3 linked regions of the Macaca fascicularis genome follow. The protein of the gene in region 1 interacts with the protein of each later gene in a biochemical or structural test. Links are inferred from orthologs where the notes say so. Each region holds a gene or a part of one and is shown in the gene's direction. Other genes may lie near its edges. The genes, in order: STAT2, CREBBP and IFNAR1.

The links.
Region 2: the proteins of STAT2 (region 1) and CREBBP form a complex in vitro, tested with the Homo sapiens proteins (2 studies listed by BioGRID). The link is inferred for Macaca fascicularis from reciprocal best matches to the Homo sapiens genes STAT2 and CREBBP.
Region 3: the proteins of STAT2 (region 1) and IFNAR1 form a complex in vitro, tested with the Homo sapiens proteins (2 studies listed by BioGRID). The link is inferred for Macaca fascicularis from reciprocal best matches to the Homo sapiens genes STAT2 and IFNAR1.

What each region holds. Positions count from the first base shown.
Region 1 is NC_088385.1:63,163,600-63,167,857, reverse strand, and holds the start of STAT2 (signal transducer and activator of transcription 2), read left to right. Parts: upstream 1-1,458; 5' UTR 1,459-1,677; intron 1,678-4,258. Other genes in the region: APOF (apolipoprotein F), read left to right, coding at 1-511. UniProt on the Homo sapiens protein: Signal transducer and activator of transcription that mediates signaling by type I interferons (IFN-alpha and IFN-beta).
Region 2 is NC_088394.1:4,656,620-4,660,915, reverse strand, and holds the start of CREBBP (CREB-binding protein), read left to right. Parts: upstream 1-1,453; 5' UTR 1,454-1,779; coding exon 1,780-1,864; intron 1,865-4,296. Other genes in the region: uncharacterized protein, read right to left, coding at 391-1,394. UniProt on the Homo sapiens protein: Acetylates histones, giving a specific tag for transcriptional activation. Mediates acetylation of histone H3 at 'Lys-18' and 'Lys-27' (H3K18ac and H3K27ac, respectively).
Region 3 is NC_088377.1:13,572,474-13,576,026, reverse strand, and holds part of IFNAR1 (interferon alpha/beta receptor 1), read left to right. Parts: intron 1-41; coding exon of another isoform or gene 42-66; exon of another isoform or gene 67-567; intron 568-603; coding exon 604-803; intron 804-905; coding exon 906-1,060; intron 1,061-3,553. UniProt on the Homo sapiens protein: Together with IFNAR2, forms the heterodimeric receptor for type I interferons (including interferons alpha, beta, epsilon, omega and kappa).

The sequences.
Region 1 (4,258 bases):
AAGCACAGGAAGGGTCCGGCGCTCCCTCCCCACAGAGGACTGTGAGAATGAGAAGGAGCAAGGTATGCACAATGTCATCCAGCTGCTGCCAGGAGTGGGAACCTTCTACAACCTGGGCACAGCTTTGTATTATGCTACTCAAAACTGCCTGGGCAAGGCCAGGGAACGAGGCCGAGATGGGGCCATAGATCTGGGATATGACCTTCTGATGACCATGGCCGGGATGTCAGGGGGACCTATGGGTCTAGCGATCAGTGCTGCACTTAAACCTGCATTAAGGTCTGGGGTTCAGCAGTTGATCCAGTATTACCAAGATCGGAAAGACGCAAACATCTCTCAGCCAGAGACCACCAAGGAGGGTTTAAGGGCCATCTCAGATGTGAGTGACTTGGAAGAAACAACTACCCTGGCTTCTTTCATATCAGAAGTAGTAAGTTCAGCTCCCTACTGGGGGTGGGCCATAATCAAGAGCTATGACTTAGATCCTGGGGCTGGGAGTCTTGGGATATAAAAGAAGGTAGTAACCACAGAACTAATAAATCTAATATCCTGACAAGCTGTATACATGTCTTCAAAATTTTAAACTCCGATTTATTCAGGAGTAAGGCTGTACAGTAAAACGTAGGAACGTAAATGTTTGGGGGTTGAAGTCAGAGGGTTTGGTTTTGAATCTAGGCTCCACTTGTTAGAGCCTCCGTGATCACTGACTGGTAACTTCTTTCTTGAACTAAGATCAGTTTTTAAATTTCTAAAGGAGAGAATGATTTTAACTTCAATGAGTTGCCCTGTAAATTTTAAATGACACAATTAATCTAAAGTGCTTATCACAGTACTCTCAATAAATAGCTATTAGCCAGGTGCAGTGGCTCATGCCTGTAATCCCAGCACTGTGGGAGGCCGAGGCAGGAGGATCACCTGAGGTCAGGAGTTCAAGACCAGCCTGGGCAACATGGCGAAACTCCGTCTCTACAATAAACACAAAAAATTATCCTGGCGGAGTTATGCACGCTTGTAGTCCCAGCTACCTGGGAGGCTGAGGCGGGAGAATAACCTGAGCCCGGGTGGTCGAGGCTGCAGTGAGCCGAGGTCGCGCCACTGCACTCCAGCCTGGGTGATAAGAGCGAGACCACGTCTCAAAAAAAAAAAAAAAAAAAATACTGTTTTCATTACCTCAGCCCTCCTCTTCCTATCCCAAGGCGTCGAAATTCCGGTCCCACCCCTTCCCATGGAGCCCTTGGCGTCTACAGGCTCCTCAAGCTAGTTTCGGTTCCGTGGCTCACGAGCGGGTTCTCGAAAATCAGCTGTTTCAGTCTTGGGCCAGTCCACTAATTAGACTCCTCCCCTCGTAGAAAGTGCCTACTTGAACTTCTCCACCAATCGCTGGAGCTGCAGGTGTGGTTTCGGCTCAGCTTGTCCCGCCCCGCGGGGGGGTGTAGTTGCGGCGGCGCCAGTGAGTTCGCAGTCTGGGAAGGGCTTGACTGAGTGGCAGCCAGTGTCGGGGTGGCGACTGGGAATGGGGCCGCTCCGGACTTCCGCTGCCAACTACGAGGGGGCGGGTCCGAGGGTGTAGGCCGAAGTTGTAGGCGGGGCCTGAGGCTCTAGTACCCGAACTCCTTCTACGGACGGGAAGTCGCGACCAGAGCCAGTGGAGGGCGCGGAGACTGCAACCCTAATCAGGTACGGGCCCTGAGAGGGTGTGCTGAGGTAGGGGTGGGGGTGAGAGTGAGAGTTCCTCCCAGGGAAGGGCGACTGGCCCCAGGAGTTACGCCCTGGAGGGGGCAGCTTCTGTCCCCAGGTTGAAAGAGGAGCTGTCTGTCGCCTGCTCGGTTCTCGATCTTCTCCTGTCCAGCCTATCTCCCCAACCCCAATGCCCCTCCCCGAAAACTGCCCTGCAGCTTCCGAGACCCGGAATCTGGCATTGTTGGTTCGGTATCTGACGTTACTCTGCTCTGCATTATTTTTTATCTTCACCTAAAAACGATGTTCAAAGATAGATAAATCTAAAAACAAAGATAGATAAATCTATCGTCTTTATTTGTTTTGTTTAAAAGTATAAGCTACTGAAAGATGAAACATTGCCTAAGGTCACACACAAAATTCAGTTCATTTCAGAAAAGCTTCTTGAGTGCAAAATATGTGCTTAAGAGTGAGAGATAATGAGAAAAAATTGTTTTAGCTCTTAACCTCAGTGTTTGCAATCCATTCGGGGAGACCAGGTTTTTTGTTTTGTTTTCATATTTGAATCTTTGCTGACTTGCTCCTTTAATATCAGACACTTAAATCCTCAAGAATTGGGACCTCATTATTATTATTATTATTATTATTATTATTATTTTAAAGATGGAATCTCAGTATGTTGCCCAGGCTCGGTTTCAAACTCCTGACTGAGCTCAAGCCATCCTCCCGTCTTGTGGGCCTCACAAAGTGCTGGGATTACAGGCATGAGCCACCATGCCTGGCCACCTAATCATTTTTTTAACTTATATTTTTTTGTATCATAAAAGCAATACAGACACATAGTTTTAAAAATCAAGCACTACTAAAAGGGTTAAAATGAAAATAGCCCCTGCCCAATCCCTCCCTTCCCTTGTTCCTGCTGGAGGTAGAAGGGCAGCTGATGTTATTCATGTTAGTAGAAGACTATACCACCCCAAGCATTTCTTTTTACTTTGTAATAAAATCATGTGACCTTTTTAGACCACTAATGTGCATGAATTCTGTTTTGTTAGGCTCAGGCTGCAACAAGCTTAAGTTTCAGTTTCCTAAATAGACACCAGATGGCAGCGAGCAGGGAACAGTGGGGAGAAGGATGCAAGGCACAGCCTGCTTGGTGACAGGCAAAAGCCAATTCATTGTTGTTGTTTTGATTCAGAGACTGCACTCTGCCTCCCAGGCTGGATGTGATCTCCACTTACTGTAACCCCTGCCTCCTGGGTACAGGCCATTCTCCTGCCTCAGCCTTTTGAGTAGCTGGGATTACAGGTGCCCACCAACATGCCTGGCTAATTTTTTTGTATTTTTAGTAGAGATAGGATTTCACATTGGCCAGGCTGGTCTTGAACTCCTGACCTCAAGTGATCCTCCCGCCTCTTCCAAAGTGCTGGAATTACAGGCATGAGCCACTGTGCCCTGCCAAAACAAAAAAAACAAAAAAAATTTAAGTGAAGTTTCAGGATCTCACAAAGTTGATAACTTATATTCAAGATTCACAGGTCATAAACGTGTCATATTCTTAGGGACTGAGCAACCCGTTGCATAGCATTTAGATGTCTTCTAGCATGGAGCTCCTCCTTCCTATATGGAGGGCAGTTTATAGGGTGTACTTACCTAACCTCCAAAAAGATTTAGCTCCTAAAAAAGCTTCAGGTGGCCGGGCATGGTGGCTCACACCTCTAATCCCCGCACTTTGGGAGGCCAAGGTGGGCAGATCACCTGAGGTCAGAAGTTCCAGACCAGCCTGGATGACATGGTGAAACCCCATCTCTACTAAAAATACAAAAATTAGCAGGGCATGGTGGTGGGCGACTGTAGTCCCAGCTAGTCAGGAGGCTGAGCCAGGAGAATCCCTTCAACTCGGGAGGCAGAGTTTGCAGTGAGCCGAGATCATGTCACTGCACTCCAGCCTGGGTGACAGAGCAAGACTCCATCTCAAAAAAAAAAAAAAGCTTCAGGGTCAGCAGGGATCATGCTGTAATAAATACTTAACATCAACACTGATCTTTAAATGCTTATATTTGTTTAGCATAAACAAATATAAACAACAAACACATAAATGCAAAATAAATGAATTAGAGAGATAGATGAAATAAGATAGTGGAAACAGTAGTTTGTTAAAGCTGGATGGTGATCCTTGTACTAGTCACTCTGCTTTAGTGTGTGTTTGAAAATTACCATTAGGCTGGTTATGGTGGCTCATGCCTGTAATCCCAGCATTTTGGAAGGCTGAAGCAGGCAGATCACTTGAGCTCAGGAGTTTGAGATCTGCCTGGGCAACATGGCAAAATCCTATCTCTACAAAAAATTAGCTGGCGTGATAGCACACTCCTGTAGTCCCAGCTCCTTGAGGGGCTGAGGCAGAGAATCGCTTGAACCTGAGAGATCAAAGCTGAGCCACGATCATGCCACTGCACTCCAGCCTGGGTGACCAAGTGAGACCCTGTCTTAAAAAAAAAAAAAGAAAAGAAAATTCCCATTAAAGCACAAAGGCCCACTTACTGAAGCTATTAAAATACAGGTTGGGGCCGGCTGGGTGCGGTGG
Region 2 (4,296 bases), on another chromosome or scaffold:
ATAACTAACTTGGATGGGAGCACCTCGGGTGTTCGTGGAAGTGTCCCGCGGGCTGTGGTCTCGCGTGGGGGACTCCCCAGGCCCGCAACCCTGTCTGGGGCACCTGCGAGGCGCCAAGCGAGTTGCCTGGGGCGGGGAGTGCGGCCTGGGCGTCCAGGCTTAAGCCCCGATGCGCGGGCCCTTCTCCACCCAGGCCGGCGCTCGCCACCCCACTCTCCAAGGTGAGGGTGTCGGCCCCACCGCCTCGGGCTGGGACAGGCGTGAGGCCCCCTTACTCCCTAGTGTCACCAGGTGGGGCGGGACCCGAATCCCGGCCCTGCCACTTGCTGCCTCGACGACTTTGGAGAAGTTGTTCTCCCCCCTCCTGCCTCAGTTTCCCCATCCGCCCACCTCGTCGGCAGACTTGAAGGCGGTTTGTAACCTGCAGGGCCATTCCACTTCCCTGGCCGGCGGCGAAGGCTAGTGGTGCGGCTTGGGCTGGGGTCGCCCCGATCGTCCCCGCCCGACGCCACCGAGGAGGGTATCGGGCAGGGACGCGAGGAGCTGGGAACACGCAGCGCCGCCCCAGCCGGACGGGCGGGCCCGGGCTGGCGTCGAATCCGCGCCGGAGAGCCCAGCCCGTGGCCAGGCCGCTGCTCCCGGAGCCCGCTGGGGCCCGGAGCCCCGGCCCTCGCCGCCTCGTCGCCATCAGAACAAAAGCCGAGGCTCAGCCCGGAGCCCGGGCGCCCCGCAGGCCTGGCCCGCGCCCTGCAGCCCGCCGCCCTGCGCTTCGCGGCCGCGCCTTCGGGCCTTCGGCCCTTCGGCCCGAGCACGCTCGGCTCTTTCCGCCACGGCCGGCGCAGGTGGAGGGGGCGGGGCGGGGGCCGTGCGTGGTGACGCCGCGGGGGGGGTGACGCACCGGCGTGCCCCGCCCCCACCCCCTCCCCGTTCAGGCTCTGGAAAGAGAAGAAAAAAAACTTTCTTTTTTTTTTAATTGAGGAATCAACAGCCGCCATCTTGTCGCGGACCCGACCGGGGCTTCGAGCGCGATCTACTCGGCCCCGCCGGTCCCGGGCCCCACAACCGCCCGCGCACCCCGCTCCGCCCGGCCGGCCCGCTCCGCCCGGCCCTCGGCGCCCGCCCCGGCGGCCCCGCTCGCCTCTCGGCTCGGCCTCCCGGAGCCCGGCGGCGGCGGCGGCGGCAGCGGCGGCGGCGGCGGCGGCGGCGGAACGGGGGGTGGGGGGGCCGCGGCGGCGGCGGCGACCCCGCTCGGCGCATTGTTTTTCCTCACGGCGGCGGCGGCGGCGGGCCGCGGGCGGGGAGCGGAGCCCGGAGCCCCCTCGTCGTCGGGCCGCGAGCGAATTCATTAAGTGGGGCGCGGGGGGGGAGCGAGGCGGCGGCGGCGGCGGCACCATGTTCCCGGGGACTGCCTGAGCCGCCCGGCCGGGCGCCGTCGCTGCCAGCCGGGCCCGGGGGGGCGGCCGGGCCGCCGGGGCGCCCCCGCCGCGGAGTGTCGCGCTCGGGAGGCGGGCAGGGGATGAGGGGGCCGCGGCCGGCGGCGGCGGCGGCGGCGGCGGCCGGGGGCGGGCGGTGAGCGCTGCGGGGCGCTGTTGCTGTGGCTGAGATTTGGCCGCCGCCTCCCCCACCCGGCCTGCGCCCTCCCTCTCCTTCGGCGCCCGCCCGCCCGCTCGCGGCCGCGCTCGCTGCTCTCCCTCGCAGCCGGCAGGGCCCCCGACCCCCGTCCGGGCCTTCGCCGGCCCGGCCGTCCGCTCCCGGGGCTGTTTTCGCGAGCAGGTGAAAATGGCCGAGAACTTGCTGGACGGACCGCCCAACCCCAAACGAGCCAAACTCAGCTCGCCCGGCTTCTCGGCGAATGACAGCACAGGTGAGGAGGGGTCCGGGGCGGCGGGGGCCCGGGGCGCGCTGTCACCCCCACCTGAAAGAGAGTGTCCGGGGGTGGTGGTCGCGGATACCTACCGAGCCGGGAGCCCGGAGCAGGCCCCGCAGCCCGTTCCCTTCGCCCCGCGCCGGAGGGTGGAAGTTCGTCGCAGGACTGTCACTGGGCCCGAGTTGGGCAGCACACGCCCGGTGCGCTCGGCCTCCCCGCACCCGATCAGCCCTCCTCGCGGGGACCCGAGTGGCACTCCAGGAGGGAAGAAGTAAAGTGCAGTGTGTGGGTTTGTTTGGTAATGTCCTACGCATCCATCCGCGGCCGTGTCCACACGCGTGGCCGTCCAGAGGAATGACAGCGGAGGGTACCTTTGATGCTTAGAGAAAGCAAGATCGTGGCCAAAGGTAGCGCAGTGTATTTTCTGGATTGGCGACACCTTGATCAGGCTGCAGTCAGAGGATACTCACAGCAGCCGCCAGCTTGCGAGTTAGAACCGAAGTTTCTTGGAATGAGTGAGTTCCTTGGAAAGATGCTTAGTGCTTATTTTCAAAACTCTTTGTTTTTTTTTTTGTTGTTGTTGTTGTTGTTTTTAGTGAACTAGTCATTCCATTTTTCAAAATCCAAACTTCGTTAGCAAGATGTCATTAAAGTTGCTGTGGTGTGTTTCATTTCCATGTGTAACTTCAAAAGAAAGTTAAACAGCAGATTTAAGTTCATTTGGGCTGCCATCTCCATTTGAGTTTGTGTTGCTTTCACAGTGTAGATGTACAAAAAATTATGTTAAGGCATGTAGGAATTCCAATTTTTCAAAAAAATGTAGCAGGATACTGAATAAATCATCTTTTGTTTGTTTCCTCTCATTTAACAGCTTCCCTGGAAACTTTCTTAAGTAATCATTGCTGCTTAAGAGAAGTATTTAGTTTCCTATTCATTCAGTAATTCTGGGTCCTACTGCGCTGGTTCATGGTAACATGAACTAGTTGTATTTCCTCTTTTAGAGCTCTCTCCTTTGCAGCAGAAACTTCTGTGCCGCTGCGAACAATTCCGTCTCCAGCGCAGCTTGCATTTCTCCAGTAGTCTTGCAGTGGCAGCATCTGAAAATCAGTTTCTAATGAATGAGTCCAAATTGAATTACATTGCTGCCTTCAGATTTGCGCTAGACACAGCTGTTCAACTTGTGGAAATAGTTCTGTGACCGACCACTAGCATATTCAAAAAACTGCTATTGCTGTTGAAACAAAACTTGAATTTTGTGGCTTAAGTTTGAATACAATTCCTGGAATCAAGTTATGATAAGAGACATTTAATATTAATGTGGAAGTGAAAAACGATTTTTAAAAATCAATCATAAGGAGATTCTTATCTAGTTAAAATTTCTTAAACAGTGGGGAGGAGTAAATGATGCTCATGGTATGTAAAAATCACTAATAATGTTTTTCTTTTTAGCTGATAAAAGTTGAGTTTGACATTAATCTTATGAAATGAACTTACTGAAGTGAGAAATTTGGAAACAATAGTTTAAATGCCGTTGTACTGCAAAACAGATCTCAGTTGCTTCATTAATCTTGCTGTGTTTGAGTAGTCTTCAGTTCTGTGAGACGTAGGTCATACGAGGCGAGTTCACCTTTGAAGCTTGTCTTCTGAAACTGGTAACCTGGATGGCTTTGTAGCTTTGCTATTGTTGAATGAATTTGTTGTAGATTTTGTCTTAAAAAGGGGGACAATTAGTAACACAAGACTTAACAAAAAGGCTTATCCTACTGTTTACATCCAGCTGTTTCCAAGATGGAGCCCGAAGGATAGCTTTTTCCATAGTAGTTTCCATTATTGGATGATCAGATGCTTAATAACAAGTTGATCAGAAAGGATTTTCCACACTTAACCAGCTTTTCCCTCTTCCTTTCCAGTTTTGATCCTTGTAAGGCACAGGGGCTCTTTTGTGGGACCAAAAGTCAGCTTTAAATGACTCTGATTTAATCCAAAGTAGAAAGTCGACATCATACTTAAGTTGGGTCCTGAGTTACACATTCATCACCATCACACTATTGTGAAAGGGTCTGTTAGTGTGGAGGACCAAGGAAGGGATCATTGTCAAGCACATTAAACAAGGGGCTGGATGCCATGGCTCATGCCTGTAATCCCAGCACTTTGGGAGGGGGAGGCTGGTGGATCAACTTGAAGTCAGGAGTTCGAGAGCAGCCTGGCCAACATGGTAAAACCCCATCTGTACTAAAAATACAAAAAAATAGCCAGGCATGGTGACATGCACCTGTAATTCCAGCTACTTGGGAGGCTGAGGCATGAGAATCGCTTGAACTTGGGAGGCAGAGGTTGTAGTGAGCCGAGATCGCACTGCTGCACTCCAGTCTGGGTGACTGAGTGAGACGCTGTCTCTAAAAAAAACAAGGGACACCTTGTCTGGTGTA
Region 3 (3,553 bases), on another chromosome or scaffold:
TATAACTTAATTTTTAATAATGATTTTTGTTTAAAAACCAGTTTGCACTTTGGGAGGCCGAGGTAGGTGGATCACCTGAGGTCAGGAGTTCGAGACCAGCCTGGCCAACATGGCGAAACCCCGTCTCTACTAAAAATACAAAAATTAGGCAGGCCTGGTGGCATGCGCTTGTAATCCCAGCTACTCAGGGGGACAGAGGCAGGAGAATTGCTTGAACCCAGGAGGCGGAGGTTGCAGTGAGTCAAGATCCTACCACTCCACTCCAGCCTGGGTGACAGAGCGAGACTCGTTCTCAAAAAAAAAACAAAAAAACAAAAAAACCCCAGCTTGCAGCATTCCTGGAAATTCTAACTAACAGATATTCTTGCACATTGACATAAGCCACCTGCAGCAGAGCACAGCGTGATCACAGTGTGGAACAATGTTTGGCTTTCTTTTATGTTAGATGCATATCTCCGCCATTGTTTGTGAGTTTCCTGAGGGTGGCTACTATTTATTTCTGTAACCTGAGCCCCCAACACAGTGTCTGGCATATTGTACATACTTAATAAATATCTATTGAATTAATGTGTGGTTGAGTTTAAAAATTGTTTGTCTTAAAAGTGCCTTTTTAAAAAGGAAACCTGGAAACCATTTGTATAAATGGAAACAAATACCTGACTGCGAAAATGTCACAACTACCCAGTGTGTCTTTCCTCCAAACACTTTCCAAAAAGGAATTTACCTTCTCCGCGTACAAGCATCTGATGGAAATAACACGTCTTTTTGGTCTGAAGAGATAAAGTTTGATACTGAAATACAAGGTAAGGCAGTAGTTTTTACTGGAGATTGTAATTCTCTGATTTGGTACAAGTTCTTAAAATTGTTTTTCTAATTGAACATTATTTCTTTACAAATTTTTCTAGCTTCCCTGCTTCCTCCAGTCTTTAACATTAGATCCCTTAGTGATTCATTACATATCTCTATCGGTGCTCCAAAATGGTCTGAAAACAAGCCTGTGATCCAGGATTATCCACTGATTTATGAAATTCTTTTTTGGGAAAACACTTCAAAGGCTGAGGTAAAAAGACTATAGTATAATTTTGTAGCTTAGAGTTATAACTGTGATTTAGGTAAATAAAGCTTGAATTTAAAATTTGGGGGAAATTTTTAAACTTTTATGTGGGCTGAGTGCAGTGGCCTGTAATCCCAGCACTTCAGGAGGCCAAGGCGAGAGGATCACTTGAGCCCAAGGGTTTGAGACCAGCCTGGGCAAAATAGGGAGACCCTGTCTCAAATAAAAATTTTTAAAAATTAGCCTGGTGTGATGGCGTGCACCTAATATTCCCAGCTACTTGGGGTGGGAGGATCGCTTGAGCTTCAGAGGTCAAGCTTGCAATGAGCCATGATCGTGCCACTGCACTCCAGCCTGGGTGACAGAGTGACTGACAGCCTGTCTTAAAAAAGAAAAAAAAAGGCCGGGCGCGGTAGCTCACGCCTGTAATCCCAGCACTTCGGGAGGCTGAGGCGGGCGGATCACGAGGTCAGGGGATCGAGACCATCCTGGCTAACACATGAAACCCCATCTCTACTAAAAATGCAAAAAATTAGCTGGGCATGGCGGCGGCCGCCTGTAGTCCCAGCTGCTTGGGAGGCTAAGGCAGAGCTTGCAGTGAGCCGAGATCGTGCCACTGCACTACAGCCTGGGCAACTGAGCAAGACTCCATCTCAAAAAAAAAAAATAAAGAGTGATTAACTCAGATATTTACAGAATGAAGAACATGAGCATTTTTCATGTTTTGTACTATAGAGTTATGGGTGAGCTACATCTGGGCGCAGTTTACTTTTAAAATACAGATTCCTGAGCCTGTTGTTACTGAATCATTATCTCTGGGGATGGAGCTCATGAATTTGCATTTTTTTTTAACATGATTCCTATGTATTCATCTAAACCCGGGTTTCTTAGCACTACTGACGTTTGGGCTGGATAGTTCCTTGTGGGGCAGGGGGGACTGACCTGTGCAGTGCAAGATGCCTGGCAGCATTCTGGCTTCTGCCTACTAGATGCCAGTAGTGTTCCTTCCTAGTTGTGACAACCAAAAATATCTCCAAATATTGTCAAATGTCCTCTGGTGGCTCCTCCAAGGGGACAAAAATTGATTCTCATGGGACAAAAGAATCGATAGTACAGTTGTTTTTATTCCTCCAAAACCATTGGAAAACATTCTTCCAAAGTTCAGCTTTGCCCAACAAAATGTTATTCCTTAGTCTTTAATTTTTTGATGGGGGAAGGATTAGAAAAAAATTGCCCAAAAAGTAATGAAAAAAGGGTTGACAAACACTGGTCTAAACCCTAAAATTCAGGTACCACTGACAAAGATAATATACACCATCAGATAATATACATGTTTCCCAGATCACTTCTTCCTTGTGGAGTGTTAGTCAAGGATCTACCTTTAAAACTCCTGTCCAGGCAGGCTGGTGAATTCTTTCACTTTGCTTCATTTTCTATTGGAAATCTAAGCAAATTCCATTGATTTGGCTGCTTCCCTTTTTCACTGTCTAACAACACTGTAACCATAGCATAATGTAGCCCATTGAGAATTATGGTCAGTTTTCAGATGTCTGTAGATCAGACAAACCTAAATTTCTATCTCACACTACTAAATTGTGTAACGTTACTCAAGGTGCTTTATCTCTTGGAGACTTTGCTTCCTCTTCTCTGAAGTGGTGGTAATCATAACAACTAAATTTTTCAAAAGGATGTTTATAAGTTTAAAAGGAAGTAACAGATAGCAAATACCTAGCACATGGCTGGACAAGTAGTAGAGATTCAATAGATTGTAGTTGCCATCTTATCCTATACTGGATCATATATCAGTAATTATTATTATAGAAACTCTTATTGAATACTTATATGTAAGGTACTATGCTAAGTATTGCACATGAATTGTCTGAATCATTCTTCAAAACAACGCTGCCAAATGATGTGATTGGTTAAATTGCTGTTTGGCAAATACTTGGGATGGTGCCTTCATCCCGGCATCACCAGACTGTAGATGCTGGAGCCCGAGTAGATGTGCTGAGAGCAGAGGCCTTAAGTGTGCTTGCAGAGTTTGGCTTGGCTCTTGCGCTGCTCCTGTTTGCCAGGGAGAAAGCGTATTCCACATAGTCTCTGGTCCAAGGAGGATTAAAGGCTGTTGGAGCTGACCTAAACCCGATGCAATGCACAGCCTCCATGGGAGCTCCCCAGCCAGTCTGTAGACTTGTGAGTGAGAAACTACATAATCATGTTGTGAGCCACTGAATGTTAAGGCAGTTTTGTTATATCTTTTTTTTTTTTTTTTTTGAGACAGGGTCTCATTCTGTCACCCAGGCTGGAGTGCACTCATGTGATGTCAGCTCACTGCAGCCTCGACTTCCTGGGCTTAAGCGATCCTCCCACCTCAGCTTCCCAAGTAGCTGGGACTACAGGCACATGCCAACATGCCCAGCTAATTTTTTTGTATTTTTGCTAGAGATGGGGTTTTACCATGTTGCCCAGGCTTTGTTTGTTTGTTTGTTTGTTTTGGAA